Anolis sagrei: one gene and its partner. The protein of the gene in region 1 purifies or fractionates together with the protein of each later gene. This does not show direct contact. Links are inferred from orthologs where the notes say so. Each region holds a gene or a part of one and is shown in the gene's direction. Other genes may lie near its edges.

Region 1 (12,322 bases):
CATATTACTGATTTCGTAAAATGGAGTCTGAGATCTAAACAAGCCCAGATCTGATCACATGGTCTGCAGCCCCTCCCACAAAACAGAGTTAATGAAAACTGCATACCAATACACACATAATACATTACAGTAAGCAATCTGAATTATATACATAACAAATAACTAGCGGAGGCTTGAAGAAAGTTGCTATTTTGAACAAAAAGTAGCAAGATGCAGGTTAATTAAGACATTTTATTTTATTTTAATCTTTTGGGTCTTGTTCCAAGGAGAGGCTCGCCCTCCCACATGCCCACAACATTGGCAGCAGGAAAAGTTGGTGGAATGGGGCTATTTTGGGGAACATTTCCCTAGCAACGACTGCTGCCACAGTCTGTAGTGGTTCATCCATATGTGCTAAAATATTCAATGCTCCTTAATAAAGAGAGCAGCTGGTAAAACAAGGTAGGTGGTAGGCAGAGTGCGCTATCCAGATGCCATGCCCACTGACTTCAGTCTGCGATTCATAGGGTTTGCTATGACTGAAGAATATTGATGGAAAAAGTGAACAATGTCTTTAAGCAGAAAGGTGTGAAAGGTCTCCGTTCTACATTCATCGCCCGTGATTCTATCTCAGAAAATAAGTCAAATACTTATGACAGAAAATGAAGTGTCTAATGCAGTCTTAATTTCTTCTCAGATACAAGGAAAATCTTTACTACAGATGTCTTGTCGCTGAATTTGTTCCTACAAGATACAGTATGCTCCAAACCAGTAGAATAAACATGTTTATTAATTATTTAGGCCAATTCATGAAGGACAAGATCTTCAAACTTCTACCCTATGTTTGCAGCTCCTTTTCAACGTTCTTTTCAGCTCCTTTCCACACAATCTGAAATAACTATATTTGTATAGTCAGTCTGAATCTGAGTGGTTGGCACTGCTAGTTGACCGTGTTGGAGCATGTAAAAAATCAGTTGGTGAGTGTGTTAACTGAAAAATGCAAAGCATGAAGCTGATTGGTTAGGCTACACTCAGGATGCTAGCGGAGCCTGGGAATTTGGCAACAGTTACATGCTTAGGTTTTCTGTAAAGAAGCTTGCCAAGATAAGTTAGTATTATTTTCTGCTTCTGAGCTGCTGGAAGAAGATCTTTCACATGGACACTCAAAGACAATTTGAATCATGGGAGTTGTATCTTGGCAAAATCTTTAACCTCCTCTGCCAAAGAGTGCTGGTGCTTCACCAAACTGCAACTTCCAGGAATACATAGCATTGAGCCATGGTGGTGTCACACTGTATTAATTCTACTGTGTAGATCAGTGGTTCCCAACCTTTTTTTGACCAGGGACCAGTTGACCTCACTTGCCTAGTTTCCAACAGATCTCACAACTTCTGAGGATGCCTGCCATAAATGTGGGTGAAACGTCAGGAGAGAATGCTTCTGGAACATGGCCTTACAGCTCAGAAAACTCACAGCAACCCAGAGATTTCTGGCCATGAAAGCTGTCGACAACACATTTGAACACTGTGTTCTTGAGTGGAGTCAGCCCAAACATTTCATACATGAAAGGTATCAAACAACCTTAGATTGATAAAGTTTATATTGACTTGTATCGCTCTAATATTGTCATCTCCAATGAACCCAATACATTCATTTGACTACAAATCATCAACTGCAGAACAAGAATGAAGACTTGACCATGATACGAATCACTTTGCCTTGCTGACCCATGCAATAAAAGATTAGTAGATTCGCTCTATATATCTCTGACATACTCAATATGCATGGAAAGTATATATAGGTGAAAAAGACAAGGGTGAAAGAGATACCTGGTGTTTTTAATGCTTCATACAGTCAAAACAAAAATGACCCTCTTTATGCCAGATTTATTTTTACTGATTGTTTTTTTAAATCATAGAATCACAGAGTTGGTAGAGACCTTGTGGGCCGTCCAGTCCAACCTCCTGCCAAGAAGCAGGAAAATTGCATTCAAAGCACCCCCGACAGATGGCCATCCAGCCTCTGTTTAAAAGCCCCCAAAGAAGGAGCCTCCACCACACTCTGGGGCAGAGATCTATGAAAATCTAAAGTCATCTTAGAATTAAACAGTGGATCAGAACTAAAACAACAACTGCCTGGATAAAACACACAGTTTCTTAGCAACAGATAATGTATTCAGTTCCAAAACAAAACAGGCAGATGTGAGTGTTACTAGAGCCATAATTCCAAAATGAAGAACTATATATACCTGGGATTGGTGCACCGGATTATATTGGTGCTTTGGGCCTTATCAAATCACTTCTTCATGTTATATTATTCCATTGGAGAAACACTCCAGCCAGCTTTGTGAGAGTCGCTGATTAGCCATGCTCTCCATCACACTCTTGCCACATTTGTGCTTTAACAGTATCATTTGTATGGGGCTTTAGCATTTAATAGCCTTGCAGCTTCAAAGCCTGGCTGCTTCCTGCCTGGGGGAAATCCTTTGTTGGGAGTTGATCAGTTGGCCTGATTGTTCCTTGTCTGGAATTCCCCTGTTTTTTGAGTGTTGCTCTTTATTCACTGTCCTGATTTTAGAGTTTTTTTAAATACTGGTAGCCAGGTTTTGTTTATTTTCATGGTTTCCTCCTTTCCGTTGAAATTATCCACATACTAGTGGATTTCAGTGGATCTCTATGTAGACTGACATGTTAGTTGTTAAAGTGGTCCAGCATTTCAGTGTTCTCAAATAATATGCTGTGTCCAGTGCTTGGAGAGCATTGTATGATAAGGCTGAGACACAAGGGGGACCCAATGCCTTGCCATTACAGTAAACGCCACAGTATGATAACACTATTTGACTCTCCCAGCTGCAGTTTTGTTTGGCCAAAGGCAAAGGTTCTTTCTTGAACTCAAATGCAATAAGCCTGAGAGTACTGTACCAAGTTTTATTGAAAAGCAGGCAAGGCATCAAAGAAAGAACATACGAACCTTGCAAATTCATTCCCCAATCAGCTGGAACAACAGTGAGGCCAAACCTACTGCACTGATTGTGGTCTGTAGTAAATTACAGTATCGCTGTGTCAATTAATTAGCTACTTTTCTTTCCTTTGGTGTCTTACCACCCAGGTGTATGAAAATTAAACAATTATTCCACAATTTAATTATTGAAATCAAAATATAGTCATGACTTTTGTACCTTTTAGTTGGGCCAATGAAAACATAATAGATACAGCAAATGAATAGACAGTGCCCAAAGAGGGTGGATGGCGGCCAAACTTACTAATTGGGGGGGGGGGGGAATTATCTCATACACCAAATCCATACCTTCCAATTAATTCTACCTTTGAAATATATCCAGCAAAAATAGTCCCTAAAAAAAACTTTAACCCTTAAGGCAGCGTTTCTCAACCTGGGGGTTGGGACCCCTGGGGGTCACGAGGGAGTGTCAGAGGGGTCGCCAAAGACCATCAGAAAACACAGTATTTTCTGTTGATCATGGAGATTCTGTGTGGGAAGTTTGGCCCAATTCTATCATTGGTGGTGTTCAGAATGCTCTTTGATTGTAGGTGAACTATAAATCACAGCAACTTCAATTCCCAAACGTCAAGTTTTTTCACCCCAAATTCCACCAGTGTTCACATTTGGACATACTCAGGAATTTTTCCAGCATATATGGCAAATAAGGGAATAAGGGAATACTATATATATAAAAGGGACACCCTGGTGGTGCTGCGGGTTAAACCACTGAGCTGCTGAACTTGCTGACAGAAAGGTTGGTGGTTCGAATCTGGCAAGTGGGGTGAGCTCCTGCTATTATAAGTAGTAAATTAAAATAGTAAAGGTGGCACAGAGGGTTAAACTGCTAAGCTGCAGAACTTGCTGACTGGAAGGTCGGCAGTTTGAATCCGCAGGACAAAGTGAGCTCCCATTGTTAGCCCCAGCTTCTGCCAAACTAGCAGTTCGAAAACATGCAAATGTGAGTAAATCAATAGGTACCACTTCGTTGGCTCTGAAGGCAGTCATGCTGGCCACATGACCTTGGAGGTGTCTACGGACAACACTAGCTCTTCACCTTTGAAATGAAGATGAGCACCATCCCCCAGAGTCAGACACGACTAGATTTAATGTCAGGGCTATGAGCAGGGTAGAAATAATGCAAATAAATAAATAAATAAATTTACCTTTTACATGCATGCATACAGACAGACATACATACTTACATATATATGATTGTATCACAGCTGTTTTCATTATTTGAAAAAATATATCAGTCAATCTTTACTTAAAGCTTTCAAGTTAATTTACAAAACCAGCATTCAGAACAACAGTAAAACCATGAATAATGAACAAAGGTCACAGCAGAGTAGAACACAATGGCAGCATACAGGCAACATCTGAAAAGTAAAAAAAAAAATGTAAACAAAAATGCTTGTGTAAATAAAGATGTAAAGTGGGTTTAGTTGACACAAAATAAATGTGTGAAAAACGCAAGATTCCACCTCCTTTGCTTTAATTTCAGTACAATATCAAGAGAGAGCCTAGTCTCTTCCCACTATTTCCTCTTTCCACCATTGTTTCCTTAACTTGAATACACCTTTGTATATAAATGCTTTCACACAATATTGGAATGGCCTTGATTGACCAGAACAAAGACAGGAAGATCTACTACTTCCTATATGACTATTGCTTTAAAAAACCTGAAACACCTGGCTCTGTGTTTACAAAGGCATCTTGAACCACCATCTTTTTTCCGATAGAGTTACAAGCTGGATAGATGCAGGGAACGCCGTGATGTAGAGTATCTGGATTTCAGTAAGGACTTCAACAAGGTCCCCATGACCTTCTGGCAAACAGACTAGTCCAATGTGGGCTAGGCAAAACTATGGTTAGGTGGATCTGTAATTGGTTAAGCAAACGAACCCAAAGGGTGTTCACCAAAGTTTCCTCTTCATCCTGGAAAGAAGTGACAAGTGGAGTGCCTCAGGGTTATGTCCTGGGCCCAGACCTATTCAACATTAATGACTTAAGTGAAGGATTAGAAGGCATGACCATCAAGTTTGCAGACAACACCAAATTGGGAGGGATAGCCAATATTCCAGAAGCCAGGAGCAGAATTCAAAACGATCTGAACAGATTGGAGAGATGATTGGCCAAAACTAACAAAATGAAATTCAACAGGGACAAATGCAAGATACTCCACTTAGGCAGAAAAAAGGAAATGCAAAGATAAAGAATGCGGAGCACCTGGCTCAAGAGCAGTACATGTGAAAAAGATCTTGGAGTCTTTGTGGACAACAAGTTAAACAATGTCATGCGGCAGCAACAATGTCATGCAGTGGCAAAAAAGCCAATGGGATTTTGGCCTGCATCAATAGGAGTATAGTGTCTAGATCCAGGGAAGTCATGCTACCTCTATATTCTGCTTTGGTCAGACCACATCTGGAATCACATTGTGTCCAATTCTGGGCATCGCAATTGAAGGGAGATGTTGACAGGCTGGAATGTGTCCAGAGGAGGGTGACTAATATGATCAAGGGTCTGGAGAACAAGCCCTATGAGGAGCCACTTAAAGAGCACTTCCATAGGTATAGCAATTAGACTAGCAATTAGCAATTAGATTAGGATTAGTTGAGACTGTTCCTGCCAGTTGGAGGGTATTCAGATGCAAAGTTCCTCCTGACAGCTCATTTTGATGTAGGTAATACAGAGGAACCCCTGGTGGCGCAATGGGTTAAACCCTTGTGCTGGCGGGACTGAAGACCAAGAGGTTGGAGGTTCAAATCCAGGGAGAGTGTGGATGGGCTCCCTCTGTCAGCTCTAGCTCCCTGTACAGGGACATGAGAGAAGCCTCCCACAAGGATGGTAAAATATCAAAAACATCCTGGCATTCCATGGGCAACGTCCTTGCAGATGGCCAATTCTCTCACAGCAGAAGTCACTCCTGACACGAAAAAAGTAAAAGCTAATGCAGAATGTACTAGTGGATTGTGGTACATTTTTATTATTAGAGGTGAAGGACCATTTGAGTTTTTCAACAGAGTCTAGAGTTGATCCTGTTAGTTGTGCCACAATAAGGGAATCGTGGAGATGCTTAGAAAGGTATGATAGAATCCAACAGCGAAAATAAAGAGCCACAATCCACAACAACAAAACAGTTCTCCAAATGTCTGGGACAACAAAGGTATTAAAACCCCTTATTTTGTAACTACTGGAGCAACTATTGACTGTAAGATGAAAGCATTTCACTGAATGTAATAGCTTGCTGGCTGAGAAGAAACCCAAACGCCTTGTTGAACCTTTTTCACCCCAATCCTTGCCCAAAAACAAAGGGGGGGGGGGGACACAGGCCTGCACCCTCCTTGAAAGGCACGAAGCCTGTGAACAAAGGATAGCACCACATAGAAGAAGAAGAACTTTATTTTTCTACCCTGCCTCCATCTCCCCGAAGGGACGTGGGGCAGCTTACATGGGGCCAAGCCCAAAAAACATATAGTTTATTTATTTATCGTGTCAGGAGCAGACCAAACAGTTGTATTGCATTTTTTAACAAACAAACAAACCACAAAGTTTGCAAGCTTGGTAGTTGATTAAATGTCCTTTAACCAGTAGCTGGCCACTTGGAGTGCCTCTGGTGTTGCTGCAAGAAGGTCCTCCATTGTGCATGTGGCAGGGCTCAGGTTGCATCGCAGCAGAGCTCTGTAGTTTGCTCTTCTCCACACTCGCATGTCATGGATTCCACTTTGTAGCCCCATTTCTTAAAGTTGGCTCTGCATCTTGTGGTCCCAAAATGCAGTCTGTTCAATGCCTTCCATGTCGCCCAGTCTTCTGTGTGCCCAGGGGGGAGTCTCTCATTTGGTATCAGCCATTGATTGAGGTTCTGGGTTTGAGCCTGCCACTTTTGGACTCTCGCTTGCTGAGGTGTTCCAGCGAATGTCTCTGTAGATCTTAGAAAACTATTTCTTGATTTAAGTCATTGACATGCTGGCTGATATCCAACAGGGGATGAGCTGGAGATGTCTCTGCCTTGGTACTTTCACTATTGGCTGCTACTTCCCAGCGGATGTCAGGTGGTGCAATACCGGCTAAACAGTGTAATTTCTCTAGTGGTGTAGGGCACAGACACCCTGTGATAATGCGACATGTTTCATTAAGAGCCACATCTACTGTTTTAGCGTGGTGAGATGTGTTCCACACTGGGCATGCATACTCAGCAGCAGAGTAGCATAGCGCAAGGGCAGATGTCTTCACTGTGTCTGGTTGTCATCTCCAGGTTGTGCCAGTCAGCTTTCGTATGATATAATGCCCGGATGTCTTGCAATCCTGTGAGGAGGCTTTTCTCAGGTCCCCTAACATATAGTTAAAACAAGGCAAATAAAAATAAAAACAGCATACAACCAACATCATAAGCAATAATAAAACAGACATCATAAACAAAAGAAAAAGAAAAAAAAGAAAAGAAAAGTATGATAGAAGTTGAGTGACTTAAGTATGCTCTTCTGAATTAGGCTCAGGGATAATCTTTAGGAAAAGAATAAAAAAATGAAAGTAGGTTTTAAACTGTGTTCTGGAGTGGATGGCAAACCTTTGCAGGCCAGAGTGCTCTGTGCAAAGATGCCGAGGGCTCTGCACTGCCCGGCACACGTGTCCCCATTAATGTTTCCACTGCTTTGGATTGCGCTCCCGTCTTTCCATCACTGCATCTGCAGCGTGTATCCATGGTTGTGAGCTCACATGCAGGGATGGGTTAAAGTAGTGGAAGGCTGGTGTATTCTAGCAGAGTTAGTGACTTCTCAGCTACAGGCTGCAGAGCAAAACAGGGAAACAAATGATTTGAGAGCGAGAGAAGGAACAAGAAGGAAGGAGAGCGTCCTGGGAAGAGGGGAGTTAATGAAACGGGAGGGGGGTAAACAGTAGTGAGGAAAAGGACTATCTCAAAAGTATTGCTTCAAGTGCCCGGGGAGCACTTGAATCTATGGATGGGAACTCTTCACAAAGCAACAATAAAGTCCAGAACAAAGAGGAACCAAGAGGCCGGCTAAGAAATGAATGAAAGAAAGTTGGACCCAGACCAAGTGTTGTGAGTGATGTGGAAGGCAAGCAAAACAGAGCGACCAGGAGACCAAACAAATTTAGGGGATGTAACCCAAGCTGGATGAGGTGCTGGCAATTTTTCTCTTTTTATCCTCCTCTTGAAAGCTGGATTTTCAGGATTCAGATGGAAATAGGCTGACTACACACCAGGTAAGAGACTATTTGTTGTCATTATGTACAATGTCACTGAGAGCCAGAGTGTTGTGGTTTGATTGTTGGACTTTGACTCTGGGAAGCCAGTGGTCAAATCCACACTTTGGCTTTGGAAATACACTGGATGACCTGTAAACAAGCGAGACCCCTGGGGATATTTCCAAAATCTGTTGGAAATAGCAACTTTCTACAAGGCTCCTATACTAGTCATTTGTTATGTATATACAGTAATTCAGATTGCTTACTGCAGCATTCCTCAATCTGGGGATTGGGACCCCTGAGAGGGATCACGAATGAGTCTCAGAGGGGTCGCCAAAGAACATCAGAAAACACAGTATTTTCTGTTGGACGTGGGGGTCTGTGTGGAAAGTTTGGCCCAATTCTATCCTTGGTGGGGTTCAGAATGCTTTTTTATTGTAGGTGATCGATATATCCCAGCTACTACAATTCCTAAATGTAAAAGTCTTTTTTCCTCAAACTCCACCAGTGTTCACATTTGGGCATATTGAGGATTCGTGCAAAGTTTGGTCCACATCCATCATTGTTTGAGTCCACAGTGCTCTCTGGATGTAGGTGAACTACAACTTCAAAACTCAAGGTCAATGCCCACCAGGGTGGTCCGTGAGAAGGCCTTACTGGTACATTATTTAAACTGTTATGTTTATTCATATCATGATCTGATCACCATGCTCAGTATATCCCATATGCATGGGTGTATTGGGATAATAATACAAAAGGTTTGCTAGGGTAGATCCTGACCCCCCCCCCCAGAATCAAACACAGCCCCCCCCCCCCCCGCCCTGCCCCCCGAATCAAAATTCTGGCTACGGGCCTGATGCTCACCAAACCCTTCCAGTATTTTCTGTTGGTTATGGGAGTTCTGTCTGCCAAGATTGGTTCCATTCCATCATTGGTGGAGTTTAGAATACTCTTTGATTGTGGGTAAACTATAAATCCCAGCAGCTCCAACCCCCAAATGATAAAATCACACACACACCCAACCCCACCAGTATTCAAATGTGGGTGTATTGGGTATTTGTGCCAAATTTGTTCCAGTGAATGACAATACATCCTGCATATCAGATATTTACATTATAATTCATAACAGTTGCAAAATTATAGTTATGAAGTAGCAACAAAAATAATTTTTGATGCAAGGGGGGGGGTCACCACAGCACGGTGATCTCTATTAAGGGATCGTGGCATTAAGAAGTTTGAGAACCACTGCTGTAAACAAATCTTGCCAAGAAAACCTTTGGTTCACCATAAAATGGAAATAACTTATAGGCACAATATAACAGTAGTAATGTACTATGCACATGCTTGAGATTGGAGCTGATGAATTTCCTATGCTGATGATATGTGTCTGTAAATGTTTATAGGGACATCCCCCCCCCCCCCAAATCATTTTATTTCAGTAATGTAGATGCTGGTACATAAAATCTTAAGTTACAATTATATCTTTCCATAATTAAGATGCCTCAAGTCTTCTGGTTTTAAAAAAATGTATACCATTTAATCAGAAATATTTGCTTGCACTAAATGTTAAGGTTCTAATGGTACCAGTTTCTCTGCAGACCATATTTTTAACCCAGCTTGATGAATGCTCAGTTCTTCAGTCATCCACCCCACCTCACCCCACCCAATTGGTTTGGACAATTCTTCTTTAAGGTAGTTTCTTAGGTTGTTATGTTCAAACTACTAATTTCAAAGTGTTATGGAATGATGTCAGTAGGATACATTTCTAATGGGTTCTTCTCATGAGTGGGATGCTCACAGGATTCCAGAACAATGGAACTAAAACAAAAATAGCTTATGTGCTTATGTTATTTGTAGTCTCAGGGACTCTGTCCATGCTACCCCATGTTACAAAGAGAATGTTTATATGGATACCATTTATTCTTCTGTTTCACATTAAGATGATGTTGAACATCATCTTAGGGGCAGTAGAAGTGAATCATCAGGAATAATACAATCTATATCAGGCATGGGCAAACCCAGACTCAGGGGCTCTTTTCTCAGGCCCTCCTCTCTCTCACCATCCTATCCTTTAGCCCTTCTCTCTTTCCTTGCTCCTTTACTCTCTCCCTTCTTTACCTCCCTCTTTCTCCCTCCCTCCCTCCTTTCCACCCTTTCGTCCTCCCTTCCTTCTCTCTTTCCTCTCTCCTTCTCTCTCTTTCTCCTTCCTTCCCTTTTCTTTCTTTCCTTCCTTCTCTTTCCTTTTTCCCTTCCTAACTTCCATCCTTCCCTTCCACCCTTTCATCCTTCCTTCCCTTTTGTCTTTCCCCCTTCCCACTTCTCTTTCTTCTTCCCCTCTTCCTCCTCCTTCCATCCTTCCCTTCATCCCTTTCATCCTTCTTGCCTTCTTTCCTCCCTCCCTCCCTTTCTTCCTTCCCTTTTTCCTTCCTCCTTCTTTCCCTTCACTCCATCCTTCCCTTCCACCCTTTCGTCCTCCCTTCCTTCCCTCTTCCCTCTCTCCTTCCCTTTTCCCTTTCTCCTTCCTTGCTTCCCTTTTGTCTTTCCTTCCTTCACTCTTTCCTTTTCCCCTTCCTTCCATCCACCCTTCTCTTCTTCCCTTCCTTCCTTCCTTCCCTCTTTCCTTCTTCCATTCCACCCTTTCATCCTTCCTTCCCTTTTGCCTTTCCTCCTTCCCTCTTTCCTTTCTCCTTCCCCTCTCCCTCCTTCTCCTTCCATCTTTCCCTTCCTTCCTTTCATCCTTCCTGCCCTCTTCCCTTCCTGCCTCCCTTACGTCCTTCTCTTCCTCCCTTTCTTCCTTCTCTTTTTCCTTCCTCCTTCCTTCCACCCTTCCTTTCCACCCTTTCACCCTTCCTTCCCTTTTGTCTTTCCTTCCTTCCCTCTTTTCTCCCTCCTTCCCTCTCTCCCTTTTTCTCCTTCCATATTTCCCTTCCTCCCTTTCGTCTTTCCTTCCTTCTCTCTTTCCTTCCTCCTTCGCTTCCTTCTTTCCTTCACCGAGAAGCCATTCCTCTTCGCAGGGAGTACTAGCATGCGGTTCCCAAGTTAGAAAGTTTGGCCATGCCTGATCTATACAAAGTAGCGTAGGAATCCAGAATTTCTTTAAATAAGTTGAAACTAATTGCAAGAAGACACACTTGTGGCACATGTGTTGGGTGTGGAAATAGTGTTGATTTGTGATAGCACACTATATATCAGGTACAGGCAAACTTCAACCCTCCAGGTGTTTTTGACCGGCTGTTAGGAATTGTGGGAATAGAAGCCCAAAACACTTGGAAGGCCAAAGTTTGCCCATGCTTGATATATATCTACCTGTCTCCTTCACCAGATGCAAAGATCATGATGGAGTGCCAGCCTAGAATAGTGGTTTGAGAGTTGGACTAGGACTCCAGGAGATCAGGGTTCGAATCTCTTCTTGAACTGAAAACCCAGTGGGTTCCCTAGGGCAAGTGCACTATCTCAGAAGAAGGCAATGGCAACTCTCCTCTGAACAAATCTTGCCAAGAAAACCACATGATATGGGCTTCGGGTTGCCCTAAATCAGAAATGACTTGAAGGCACACAATAGTGATAATGACCACAAAGTCTTGTTATATAAACAAAGTGCAAGTAGTTATCATTCGGTTTGTTGTGAGTGTTCCAGGCTGTATGGCCATGTTCCAGATGCATTATCTTCACCCACATCTACGGCAGGCATCCTCAGAGTTTGTGAGGTCTGTTGGAAACTAGGCAAGTGAGGTTTATATAACTGTGGAATATCCAGGGTGGGAGAAAGAACTCTTCTCTGTTTGAGGCATGAATGTTGCAATTGGCCACCTTGATTAGCATTGAATGGCCTTGTAGCTTCAAAGCCTGGCTGCTTCCTGCCTGGGGGAATCCTTTGCTGGGAGGTGTTAGCTGGCTTGAATTTGAATAGTTTCTTCCTGGGTGACCCAAATTCTCTATTGGTGGAAAATTATGTATGCCATACATGTATGCCATACATGTGCCACCATGTAGTCTAGTTGTGCCCGACTCTAAGCTGAAGAGCCGGCATTGTCCGTAGACACTTCCTAAGTCATGCGGCCAGCATACCTGCATGGAGCGCTGTACCTATTGACCTACTCACATTTACATGTTTTTGAACTGCTAGGTTGGTGGAAGC
Region 2 (11,378 bases), on another chromosome or scaffold:
CATGCGCTTCTCAGGCCGTCCGCATGCGCACATCGCCCTCCGTCAGATATCAACAGCCATCCAATGGGAAGGAGTCGCTCACCGCCTCCAAAAAGGGAGACGACAAATACCTCTTTGAGATAGAAATGCCTTAATGCGCCCCTTAAGCACGGGGAACCTATGCAGACACATTAGAAGCCATAGTTGCCCTGAGCTCAATGGAACGGAAGCCTTACGCACACTTTTCCTTTTGGGTTTGGCTCCTTTTTTGTAGACATTGAGCTCTCGGTTTGTCGTCTCCCATCCTCTTCTCCCACAATTATAATAATAATAATAAATTTGGGGAAATTGGATCCCGAAACCCACCCGATTGTTTTGTTTTCACGTCCCAATAATCCATGAATTTGGCTATAAAAATCCAAAGAGTGTCTCGTTTTCAGGTTTTTTTCCCAATCCATGTTGTTGTCATCTCCTTACGATTATTAAATACCTTTCACTAATAGTTTGGAAGTGAAGCTGGGTGCTGTGATTGTTTCCAAACGTGGCAATTGCAAGAGGCCGAGGATGGATAGGAAATACAGAAAAGAGGGTGCATTGCAAGGCAGGTTGCTACACATCAGAGTGCATCCACACTGCAGAATTAATCCAGTTTCATACTACTTTTAACTAGGCTGACCCCATGATATGGAAATCCAGGGCTTTGGAGTTGGCAAAGAAAACAAAACTCACCAAACTCCTCTGGGACTTCCGGATTCAGACAGACAGAGTTTTGGAGCAAGACTCCTGACCTCACGATTGTGTTAAAAAACAAAGTATGGATTGTTGATGTTGCAATCCCGGGTGACAGCAGGATTGAAGAGAAACAACTAGAAAAGCTGACACGATATGATGATTTAAAGATCGAACTGCAAAGATTGGCACAAGCCAGTCAAGGCGGTCCCAGTGGTGATCGGCACAATGGGTGCAGTGCCTAAAGACCTTGGCTTGCACTTAAAAACAATTAGGGCTCACAAAATCACCACCTGTCAGCTGCAAAAGGCCACCTTTCTCAGATCTTTGAGAGTTCTTGGAGAACGGGAGAAGTTCCAGCAGATTGGAGGAGGGTCAATGTGGTCCCAATCTTCAAGAAGGGAAAAAAGGACGACCCAAACAACTACCGTCCGGTCAGCCTCACGTCGATACCGGGCAAGATTCTGGAAAAGATTGTTAAGGAAGTGGTCTGCAAACACTTAGAAACAAAAGCAGTCATCGCTAATAGTCAACATGGATTTATCAAAAACAAGTCATGTCAGACTAATCTGATCTCTTTCTTCGATAGAGCTACAAGCTGGGTAGATGCAGGGAATGCCGTGGATGTAGCGTACCTGGATTTCAGTAATGACCTTCTGGCAAGGAAACTAGTCCAATGTGGGCTAGGCAGAACTACGGTGAGGTGGATCTGGAATTGCTTAAGTGGACGAACACAGAGAGTGCTCACTAATGCTTCCTCTTCATCTTGGAAAGAAGTGACAAGTGGAGTGCCGCAGGGTTCCGTCCTGGGCCCGGTCCTGTTCAACATCTTTATTAATGACTTAGATGAAGGGCTAGAAGGCAGGATCATCAAGTTTGCAGACGACACCAAATTGGGAGGGATAGCCAAGACTCCAGAGGACAGGAGCAGGATTCAAAACGATCTTGACAGATTAGAGAGATGGGCCAAAACTAACAAAATGAAGTTCAACAGTGACAAATGCAAGATACTCCACTTTGGCAGAAAAAATGAGATGCAAAGATACAGAATGGGTGACGCCTGGCTCGAGAGCAGTACGTGTGAAAAAGATCTTGGAGTCCTCGTGGACAACAAGTTAAACATGAGCCAACAATGTGATGTGGCGGCAAAAAAAGCCAATGGGATTTTGGCCTGCATCAATAGGAGCCTAGTGTCTAGATCTAAGGAAGTAATGCTCCCCATGCTCTATTCCGCCTTGGTTAGACCACATCTGGAATATTGTGTCCAATTCTGGGCACCACAATTCAAGAGAGATATTGACAAGCTGGAATGTGTCCAGAGGAGGGCGACTCAAATGATCAAGGGTCTGGAGAACAAGCCCTATGAGGAGCGGCTTAGAGAACTGGGCATGTTTAGCCTGAAGAAGAGAAGGCTGAGAGGAGATATGATAGACATGTATAAATATGTGAGAGGAAGCCACAGGGAGGAGGAGGGAGCAAGCTTGTTTTCTGCTTCCCTGGAGACTAGGACGCAATGGGACAATGGCTTCAAACTACAAGAGAGGAGATTCCATCTGAACATTAGGAAGAACTTCCTGACTGTGAGAGCCGTTCAGCAGTGGAACTCTCTGCCCCGGAGTGTGGTGGAGGCTCCTTCTTTGGAAGCTTTTAAGCAGAGGCTGGATGGCCATTTGTCAGGGGTGATTTGAATGCAATATTCCTGCTTCTTGGCAGAATGGGGTTGGACTGGATGGCCCAGGAGGTCTCTTCCAACTCTTTGATTCTAGGATTCTATGATCTGCACACATTATTTGCCGATGCATCACACAGTCCTAGATACTTGGAAAGTGTCTGACATGTGATCTAATACAAAAACCAGCATAGGAATGTTGTTGTGTTTCAAATAATAATAATATAAGCCTTCCTTTAATAATAATAATAATCATCATCATCATCTAAGCTTGCTTTTTGAAGATACCTAAAATGTCTAACAACAACAACAACAACATTGCAATGCCAGGTGACTGCGAAATTGATGAAAAACAACTGGAAAAACTTACACGATATGAGGATTTAAAGAATTGCAAAGACTCTGGCACAAGCCAATCAAGGGGGTCCCAGTGGTGATCGGCACACTAGGTACATTGCCTAAAGACCTTGGCTTGCACTTAAAACCAATTGGTGCTGACAAATTTACCATCTGTCGGTTGCAAAAGGCCACCTGACTCGGATCTGCACACATTATTTGCCAATACACACCGTCCTAGACACTTGGGAAGGGTCCGACGTGTGATCCAATACAACAGCCAGCAGAGTGACCTTTGCTGTGTAATTTTTTTTGTCATGTCAGGAGCAAGTCGTTTCTGGTGTGAGAGAATTGGCCGTCTGCAAGGACGTTGCCCAGGGGACACCTGGATGATTTGATGTTTTATCATCCTTGTGGGAGGCTTCTCTCATGTCCCCGCGTGAGGAGCTGGAGCTGATAGAGGGAGCTCATCCGCCTCTCCCTGGATTCAAACCTGCGACCTGTCGGTCTTCAGTCCTGCCAGCACAGGGGTGTAACCCACTGCGCCACCGGGGGCTCTGGCTGCTGTGTAATAATCTTGTGTTTCAAATAATAATAATAATTATTATTATTATTGTTATTATTTATTTATTTATCGTGTCATCAGCAACCATACCATTGTATTACAATTCTAACAGAACAAAACAAACACACAGATTAAAAAGGGAAAAGGGAAAAAAAAAACACGGATTTTGCAAACTTGGTAGTTGGTTAAATGTCCTTTGACCAGTATCTGGCCACTGGTATTGACGAAAAAAGGTCCTCCATTGTGCATGTGGCAGGGCTCAGGTTGCATTGCAGCAGGTGGTCAGTGGTTTGTTCTCTGCACTCGCATGTTGTGGACTCCACTTTGTGGCCCCATTTCTTAAGATTGGCTCTGCATCTCGTGGTGCCAGAGCGCAGTCTGTTCAGCGCCTTCCAAGTCGCCCAGTCTTCTGTGTGCCCAGGAAGGAGTTTCTCATCTGGTATCATCCACGGATTGAGGTGCTGGGTTTGGGCCTGCCACTTTTGGACTCTCGCTTGCTGAGGTGTTCCAGCGAGTGTCTCTGTAGATCTAAGAAAACTATGTCTTGATTTAAGTCATTGACATGCTGGCTGATACTCAAACAGGGGATGAGCTGGAGATGTCTCTGCCTTGGTCCTTTCACTATTGGCTGCTGCTTCCCAGCGAATGTCAGGAGGTGCAATACTGGCTAGACAGTGTAATTTCTCCAGTGGTGTAGGGCGCAGACATCCTGTGATAATGTGGCATGTCTCATTAAGAGCCACATCCACTGTTTTAGCGTGGTGAGATGTGTTCCACACTGGGCATGCATACTCAGCAGCAGAGTACCATAGCGCAAGGGCAGATGTCTTCACTGTGTCTGGTTGTGATCCCCAGGTTGTGCCAGTCAGCTTTCGTATGATGTTGTTTCTAGCGCCCACTTTTTGCTTGATGTTCAGGCAGTGCTTCTTGTAGGTCAGAGCACGGTCCAAAGTGACTCCCAGGAATTTGGGTGTGCTGCAATGCTCCAGTGGGATTCCTTCCCAGGTAATCCTCAGAGCTCGGGATGCTTGTCTGTTCTTAAGGTAATAATAATATTATAATAATAACAACAACAACAACAATAATGCAAGTGAAACAAACGGTAGAAGAAGAGGAACACGCACTGGAAGATTATGTGAAAGGCAATCAAGAACCAACATTGAGGGAAGTCAATAGCAGAAAACTGCTCAAAGTGCAAAAGACAAAGAGTGAATACTGTAAAAACACAACCCAGAGCAGAAGAGAAAACTGGCGAAAGAAGAAGGCTCTCCATGGACAGTTCCTGGGAAAAATTGAGAGTCAAATTGACAAAGAAAAAACATGGCTGTGGCTCACAAATGGGACTTTGAAAAAGGAGACGAAGGAGGGCCTGATTCTGGCAGCCCAAGAACAAGCCATTCGAAGCAAGGCCATCAAAGCCAGAATTGAAAAGTCGATGACAGATCCCAAGTGTAGACTCTGCAAGGAAGCAGCTGAAACAATAGATCCCATCCTCAGCTGCTGCAAGAAGATCGCGGACAGACTACAAGCAGAGGCACAACACCGATGTTCAGATGATCCATTGGAACTTGTGCCACAAACACCATCTACCTGAGACAAAGAACTGGTGGGATCACAAGCCGGAAAGAGTTACAGAGAATGAACACGCCAAACTCCTCTGGGACTTCCAGATTCAGACTGACAGAGTTGTGGACCACAAGACTCCTGACTTCACAATTGTGTTAAAAACCAAAGTATGGATTGTCGATGTCGCAATCCCAGGTGAGAGCAGGATTGAAGAGAAACAACTGGAAAAGCTGACATGATATGAGGAATTAAAGATGGAACTGCAAAGACTCTGGCACAAGCCAGTCAAGGTGGTCCCAGTGGTGGTTGGCACACTGGGTGCAGTGCCTAAAGACCTTGGCCTGCACTTAAACACAATCGGCTCTGACAAGATTACCATCTGCCAGCTGCAAAAGGCCATCTTACTGGGATCTACATGCATTATTCGCCGATACAGCCAGCAGAGTGATCTTGTTTGCTGTGCACTCATCTTGTGTGTTGTTGTTGTTCATTCGTTCAGTCGTCTCCGACTCTTCGTGACCTCATGGAACAGCCCACGCCAGAGCTCCCTGTCGGCCGTCACCACCCCCAGCTTCTTCAAGGTCAGTCCAGTCATTTCAAGGATGCCATCCATCCATCTTGTGTACCTAATAATAATAATAATAATAATAATAATAATAATAAGCCTGCCTTTTGAACATGCCACAAATGCCGTTACAAAACAGGGCAGGCTTTGGCAGGAACTGATTTTCAGAAACCTCACGTCCAACTTTCTGAACCGGAAAACAGCTGTGTGAGAGTAACTTCGGAGGGGTCAAGAGAGAAGAACTACACATCCCAGGATGCCTCGGAGCGGAGGAAGACGGGTCAGAGGTTGCAATCTGCTGGGCAAATCTCTTAAGCTGGCAGATGTTTGGGAAGGGAGATTAGGAGATTAAGGTTGTACATGTACAAACCGCCTGCGAGATGCCCGTGAACAGACAAGGTAAGGCCGAGGCCGGGTTCGCCTTTTGTGGATTATTATTATTTGTCCCCCTCTTTGGCAAATGGGGGGGGGGATATATTCAGAATATATTTGGGGTTTGGGGTGCAATTTTCCCTTAGGGACATTATGGCATGCTGTGATGTGGTACCAATATGGATAGGGAGAAACTATCCCAGGGGAGTACCCGACCAATAGCAAACAACGTGGATCAATTACTTGAGATATCAATTCCTTGCTCTCTTGTGTGCAGTTGATTGGGACATTGATTGATCATGTTATCCATACAGCAGAATAATAATAGAGTTTTTTGGGCTACATGGACATGTTCTAGAGGCATTCTCTCCTGACGTTTCGCCTGCATCTAGGGCAAGCATCCTCAGAGGTATTGAGGTCTGTTGGAACTAGGAAAAGGGGTTTATATATCTGTGGAATGACCAGGGTGGGACAAAGGACTCTTGTCTGCTGGAGCTAGGTGTGAATGTTTCAACTGATCACCTTGATTAGCATTTGATGGCTTGACAGTGCCTGGAGCAAACTTTTGCTGAGAGGTGATTAGATGTCCTTGTTGGGTTGTTGTATGTTTTTTCCGGGCTATATGGCCATGCTCTAGAGGCATTCTCTCCTGACGTTTCGCCTGCATCTATGGCAAGCATCCTCAGAGGGAGTGAGGTCTGTTGGAACTAGAAACGAGGTTTATATATCTGTGGAATGACTAGGGTGGGACAAAGGACTCTTGTCTGTTGGAGCTAGGTGTGAATGTTTCAACTGACTACCTTGATTAGCATTTGATGGCCTGGCTGTTGTTTGGTGTGGCTTGTTGGTGCATCAAGGTGGTCAGTTGAAACATTCACACCTAGCTCCAGCAGACAAGAGTCCTTTGTCCCACCCTGGTCATTCCACAGATATATAAACCCCTTTTCCTACTTCCAACAGACCTCACTACCTCTGAGGATGCTTGCCATAAATGCAGGGGAAATGTCAGGAGAGAATGCCTCTAGAACATGGCTATATAGCCCAAAAAAACCTACAACAACCCAATGATTCCTGCCATGAAAGCCTTTGACAATACAATAATAGTATAAATCTTGGATTGTTAAACCATTGATCCCTCAACCCAAACATTTCCCAAAGTCCATAGGGTAGGACTCCAATTCCCATCATCCCCATCAAATTTGGATTGAAAGACATTAGGAAGGACTTCCTGACTGTGAGAGCTGTTCAGCAGTGGAACTCTCTGCCCTAGAGTGTGGTGGACGCTCCTTCTTTGGAGGCTTTCATACAGAGGCTGGATGGCCATCTGTCGGGGGTGCTTTGAATGCAATTTTCCTGCTTCTTGGCAAAATGGGGTTGGACTGGATGGCCCATGAGGTCTCTTCCAACTCTAGGATTCTATGACTGAACGAGATGTATATCATCAATCATCCAACTTAGTTTGCTATGTTTTCTTTGGACTCGAAACTAAATTGCAAAAAAAAAGTTATGATTTATGCCTTATGACAGTGTTTCTTAACCTGGGGGTCGGGACACCTGAGGGGGTCGTGAGGGGGTGTCAAAGGGGTCGCCAAAGACCATCAGAAAACAGAGTATTTTCTGGTGGTCATTGGGATTCTGTGTGGGAAGTTTGACCCAATTCTATTGTTGGTCAGGTTCAGAATGCTCTTTGATTGTAGGTGAACTATAAATCCCAGCAACTACAACTCCCAAATGCCAAGGTCTATTTCCCCCAAACTCCACGAGTGTTCACATTTGGGCATATTGAGTAGCTGTGCCAAATTTGGTCCAGATCCATCATTGTTTGAGTCCACAGCACTCTCTGGATGTAGGTGAACTACAACTCCAAAACCCAAGGTCAATGCCCACCAAAACCTTCCAGTCTTTTCTCTTGGTCGTAGGAGTTCTGTGTGCCAAGGCTGGTTCAATTCCATCATTGGTGGAGTTCAGAATGCTCTTAGATTGTAGGTGAACTATAAATCCCAGTAACTACAACTCCTAAATGGCGAGGTCTATTTTCCCCAAACTCGACCAGTGTTCATATTGAATATTTGTGCCAAATTTGGTCCAGATCCATCATTGTTTGAGTCCACAGCATTCTCTGGATGTAGGTGAACTACAACTCCAAAACTCAAAGTCAATGCCCACCAAACCCTTCCAGTCTTTTCTCTTGGTCATGGGAGTTCTGTGTGCCAAGGCTGGTTCAATTCCATCATTGGTGGAGTTCAGAATGCTTTTTTATTGTCGGTGAACTATAGATCCCAGCAACTACAACTCACAAACAACAAAATCAATTCCCCCCAACTCCACCAGCATTCAAATTTGGGTGTATTGGGTATATGTGCCAAATTTGGTCCAGTGAATGAAAATACATCCCGCAGATCAGATATTTACATTACAATTCATAACAGTAGAAAAAAGACTGTTAGGAGGTAGCAACGAAAATAATGTGATGGTTGGGGGTCACCACAAATGAGGAACCGTATTAAGGGGTCGTGGCATTAGGAAGGTTGAGAACCACTGCTTTAAAGTTATTGATAATTTATTGCTAACACTTCCACTCTATAATTTCATGAATCCATTCCCCAATGTAGCTACTTCTCTAACTTTTGGTCACATTCCTATCCAAGACTTGGACAGCCATGGCTCCCAAAGGGACCCATTTAAGGTGGAATCAGGTGTCAAACAATGGAACCATGCGATTTGTAAGCAATGGAACCATGGGATTTGTAGTTTGGTGAGGTACCAGAGGAGCTTGGACCATTTCAATGGGCTTTATGTTCCTTTTGCAGCCTTACAATATCAGTCAATGGCTTTTTTTCCTTCTCGGTTGACGAAGGCATCCTTTTGCCGTGTTCTGCTGTGCAGCCATGTGCCACCCGCCCTATATTTGTAGATCAGTCTGTTCTGCTCTAAATGCAGAGCCGTGTTCCGTATTTACGGCATCTTCTTGCACTGAATTCAGGGATTCGTTCAGATGAAACCGTAGAAAGCTCCCCATTGATTGCTGTTCGCCCAGGGGCGGCTCGTCCATTATGCGAAGTAAGCGGTCGCAAAACACTTTTTTTTTGCCAGGGGTGCAGAGGAGCCTCTGTAAATGCCCCTCGACCGCCAGGGATAGCCAATACTCCAGAGGACAGGAGCAGAATTCAAAACGATCTTGACAGATTAGAGAGATGGGCCAAAACTAACAAAATGAAGTTCAACAGTGACAAATGCAAGATACTCCACTTTGGCAGAAAAAATGAAATGCAAAGAGACAGAATGGGGGACGATGAGGCCTGGCTCGAGAGCAGTACGTGTGAAAAAGATCTTGGAGTCCTCGTGGACAACAAGTTAAACATGAGCCAACAATGTGATGTGGCGGCAAAAAAAGCCAATGGGATTTTGGCCTGCATCAATAGGAGCCTAGTGTCTAGATCTAGGGAAGTCATGCTACCCCTCTATTCTGCTTTGGTTAGACCACACCTGGAATATTGTGTCCAATTCTGGGCACCACAATTCAAGAGAGATATTGACAAGCTGGAATGTGTCCAGAGGTGGGCGACTAAAATGATCCAGGGTCTGGAGAACAAGCCCTATGAGGAGCGGCTTAGGGAACTGGGCATGTTTAGCCTGAAGAAGAGAAGGCTGAGAGGAGATAGGATAGCCATGTATAAATATGTGAGAGGAAGCCACAGGGAGGAGGGAGCAAGCTTGTTTTCTGCTTCCTTGGAGACTAGGACGCGGAACAATGGCTTCAAACTACAAGAGAGGAGATTCCATCTGAAAATGAGGAAGAACTTCCTGATTGTGAGAGCCGTTCAGCAGTGGAACTCTCTGCCCCGGAGTGTGGTGGAGGCTCCTTCTTTGGAAGCTTTTAAGCAGAGGCTGGATGGCCATCTGTCAGGGGTGATTTGAATGCAATATTCCTGCTTCTTGGCAGAATGGGGTTGGACTGGATGGCCCATGAGGTCTCTTCCAACTCTTTGATTCTATGATTCTATGACTTGAGGAGCCCCCCTCAGCTCACAACAGCCCTAGCAGTCCGGGGGGAGCCTCGGCTTTCTTGCCTCGCTGCCGGGCGATCCTCTTCCCAAAGGGGCCGTGCCCTTGAGCCTCACCTAGCCCCTCTCGTTCCTACTCCACCTGGCCACCAGGTGCGCGAGCAGAGCCGGCACTCAATCGTTCTCCGTGTTCGATCCCTTCCCCATGACCGGCTCCCTTTCCTGATCCCCCGGCGCTCCACCTGCCTCCTCTCCTCTCCCCAATCCACGGGTGGGCCAATTTATTTTATTTATTTATTTCGGGGTTCTTTTACCCCGCCCTTCTCACCCCGAAGGGGACTCAGGGCGGCTTACAAAAACAAAGGCACAATTCGATGCCTGCATCACAGAACAATCAAACACAAAATTACAAAATTACATCAATTCACAGGTAACAACGATTCAAGCATTATACCCATAAAATCAATAAAATCAATACAACCAATACAAACCCAATTCCTCCTCCTACGTGGTCAGCGTTCGCTAACTCATAGTTCTAATTTTCCGTTCCACTTCGTCAATCCTGTTGGTCTTACTCGCCTGAATGTCTTATTTAATTGCCAGAGTGCCCAAAGGCCTGGTCCCATAGCCACGTCTTTACCCTCCTCCTGAAGGAGAGGAGGGATGATGATGTCCTGATTTCCCCCGGGAGTGAGTTCCACAGGTGAGGGGCCACCACCAGAAGGCCCTGCTCCTTGTCCCCACCAGCCTCACTTGTGACAGTGGTGGGGTTGAGAGCAGGGCCTCCCCAGATGATCTCAGACTCCGAGGTGGGACGTAGAGGGAGATACGTTCGGACAGATACACTGGACCGGAACCGTACAATTGTGCTTGGAACTGAACCGGCAGCCAGTGGAGCTGGCACAGCAGGGGGGTGGTATGCTCCCTGTATGTCGCTCCGGTGAGCAGTCTGGCTGCCGCTCGCTGGACTAGTTGAAGTTTCCGAACAGTCTTCAAGGGCAACCCCACGTAGAGAGCGTTGCAGTAGTCTATTCGGGATGTAACCAGAGCGTGGACCACCGTGGCCAGATCAGACTCCCCAAGGTACGGGCGCAGCTGGCGCACAAATTTTAATTGCGCAAAAGCTCTCCTGGCCACTGCCGAAACCTGGGGTTCCAGGCTCAGCGATGAGTCCAGGATCACACCCAAGCTGCGAACCTGCGTCTTCAGGGGGAGTGTAACCCCGCCTAACACAGGCTGTCACCCTATGCCCTGTTCGGCCTTACGACTGACCAGGAGGACCTCTGTCTTGTCTGGATACAGTTTCAATTTGTTAGCGCTCATCCAGTCCGATACAGCAGCTAGACACCGATTCAAGGTCTGGACAGCCAAGGTGGAGCCACTGCGCCTGGCCCGCTTCGGGTCCAGAGGCATGTCTGAAGACCCCAGCGTGCGCACCAAAAGTCGCCTCTTCTCCTGACTTACTCTTCAGCCATTGGGACCAAGAGAGAGAGAGAGAGAGAGAGAGAGAGAGAGAGAGGTGAAGGTAGGCGCAAAAACAAAGGAGGGAGTGGAGGTGGGAGATACCTCCAGCCGGAGGGCTTCTCTCTCTCT

What was found.
Region 2: the proteins of KCNJ4 (region 1) and DLG4 purify together in Homo sapiens (affinity purification with western blotting, with the first as the bait; 3 studies listed by BioGRID). This does not show direct contact. The link is inferred for Anolis sagrei from reciprocal best matches to the Homo sapiens genes KCNJ4 and DLG4.

The regions. Positions count from the first base shown.
Region 1 is NC_090025.1:164,044,576-164,056,897, forward strand, and holds the start of KCNJ4 (inward rectifier potassium channel 4), read left to right. Parts: upstream 1-7,638; 5' UTR 7,639-8,202; intron 8,203-12,322. UniProt on the Homo sapiens protein: Inward rectifier potassium channels are characterized by a greater tendency to allow potassium to flow into the cell rather than out of it.
Region 2 is NC_090026.1:4,287,841-4,299,218, reverse strand, and holds the start of DLG4 (disks large homolog 4), read left to right. Parts: upstream 1-5,735; 5' UTR 5,736-5,789; coding exon 5,790-5,808; intron 5,809-11,378. UniProt on the Homo sapiens protein: Postsynaptic scaffolding protein that plays a critical role in synaptogenesis and synaptic plasticity by providing a platform for the postsynaptic clustering of crucial synaptic proteins.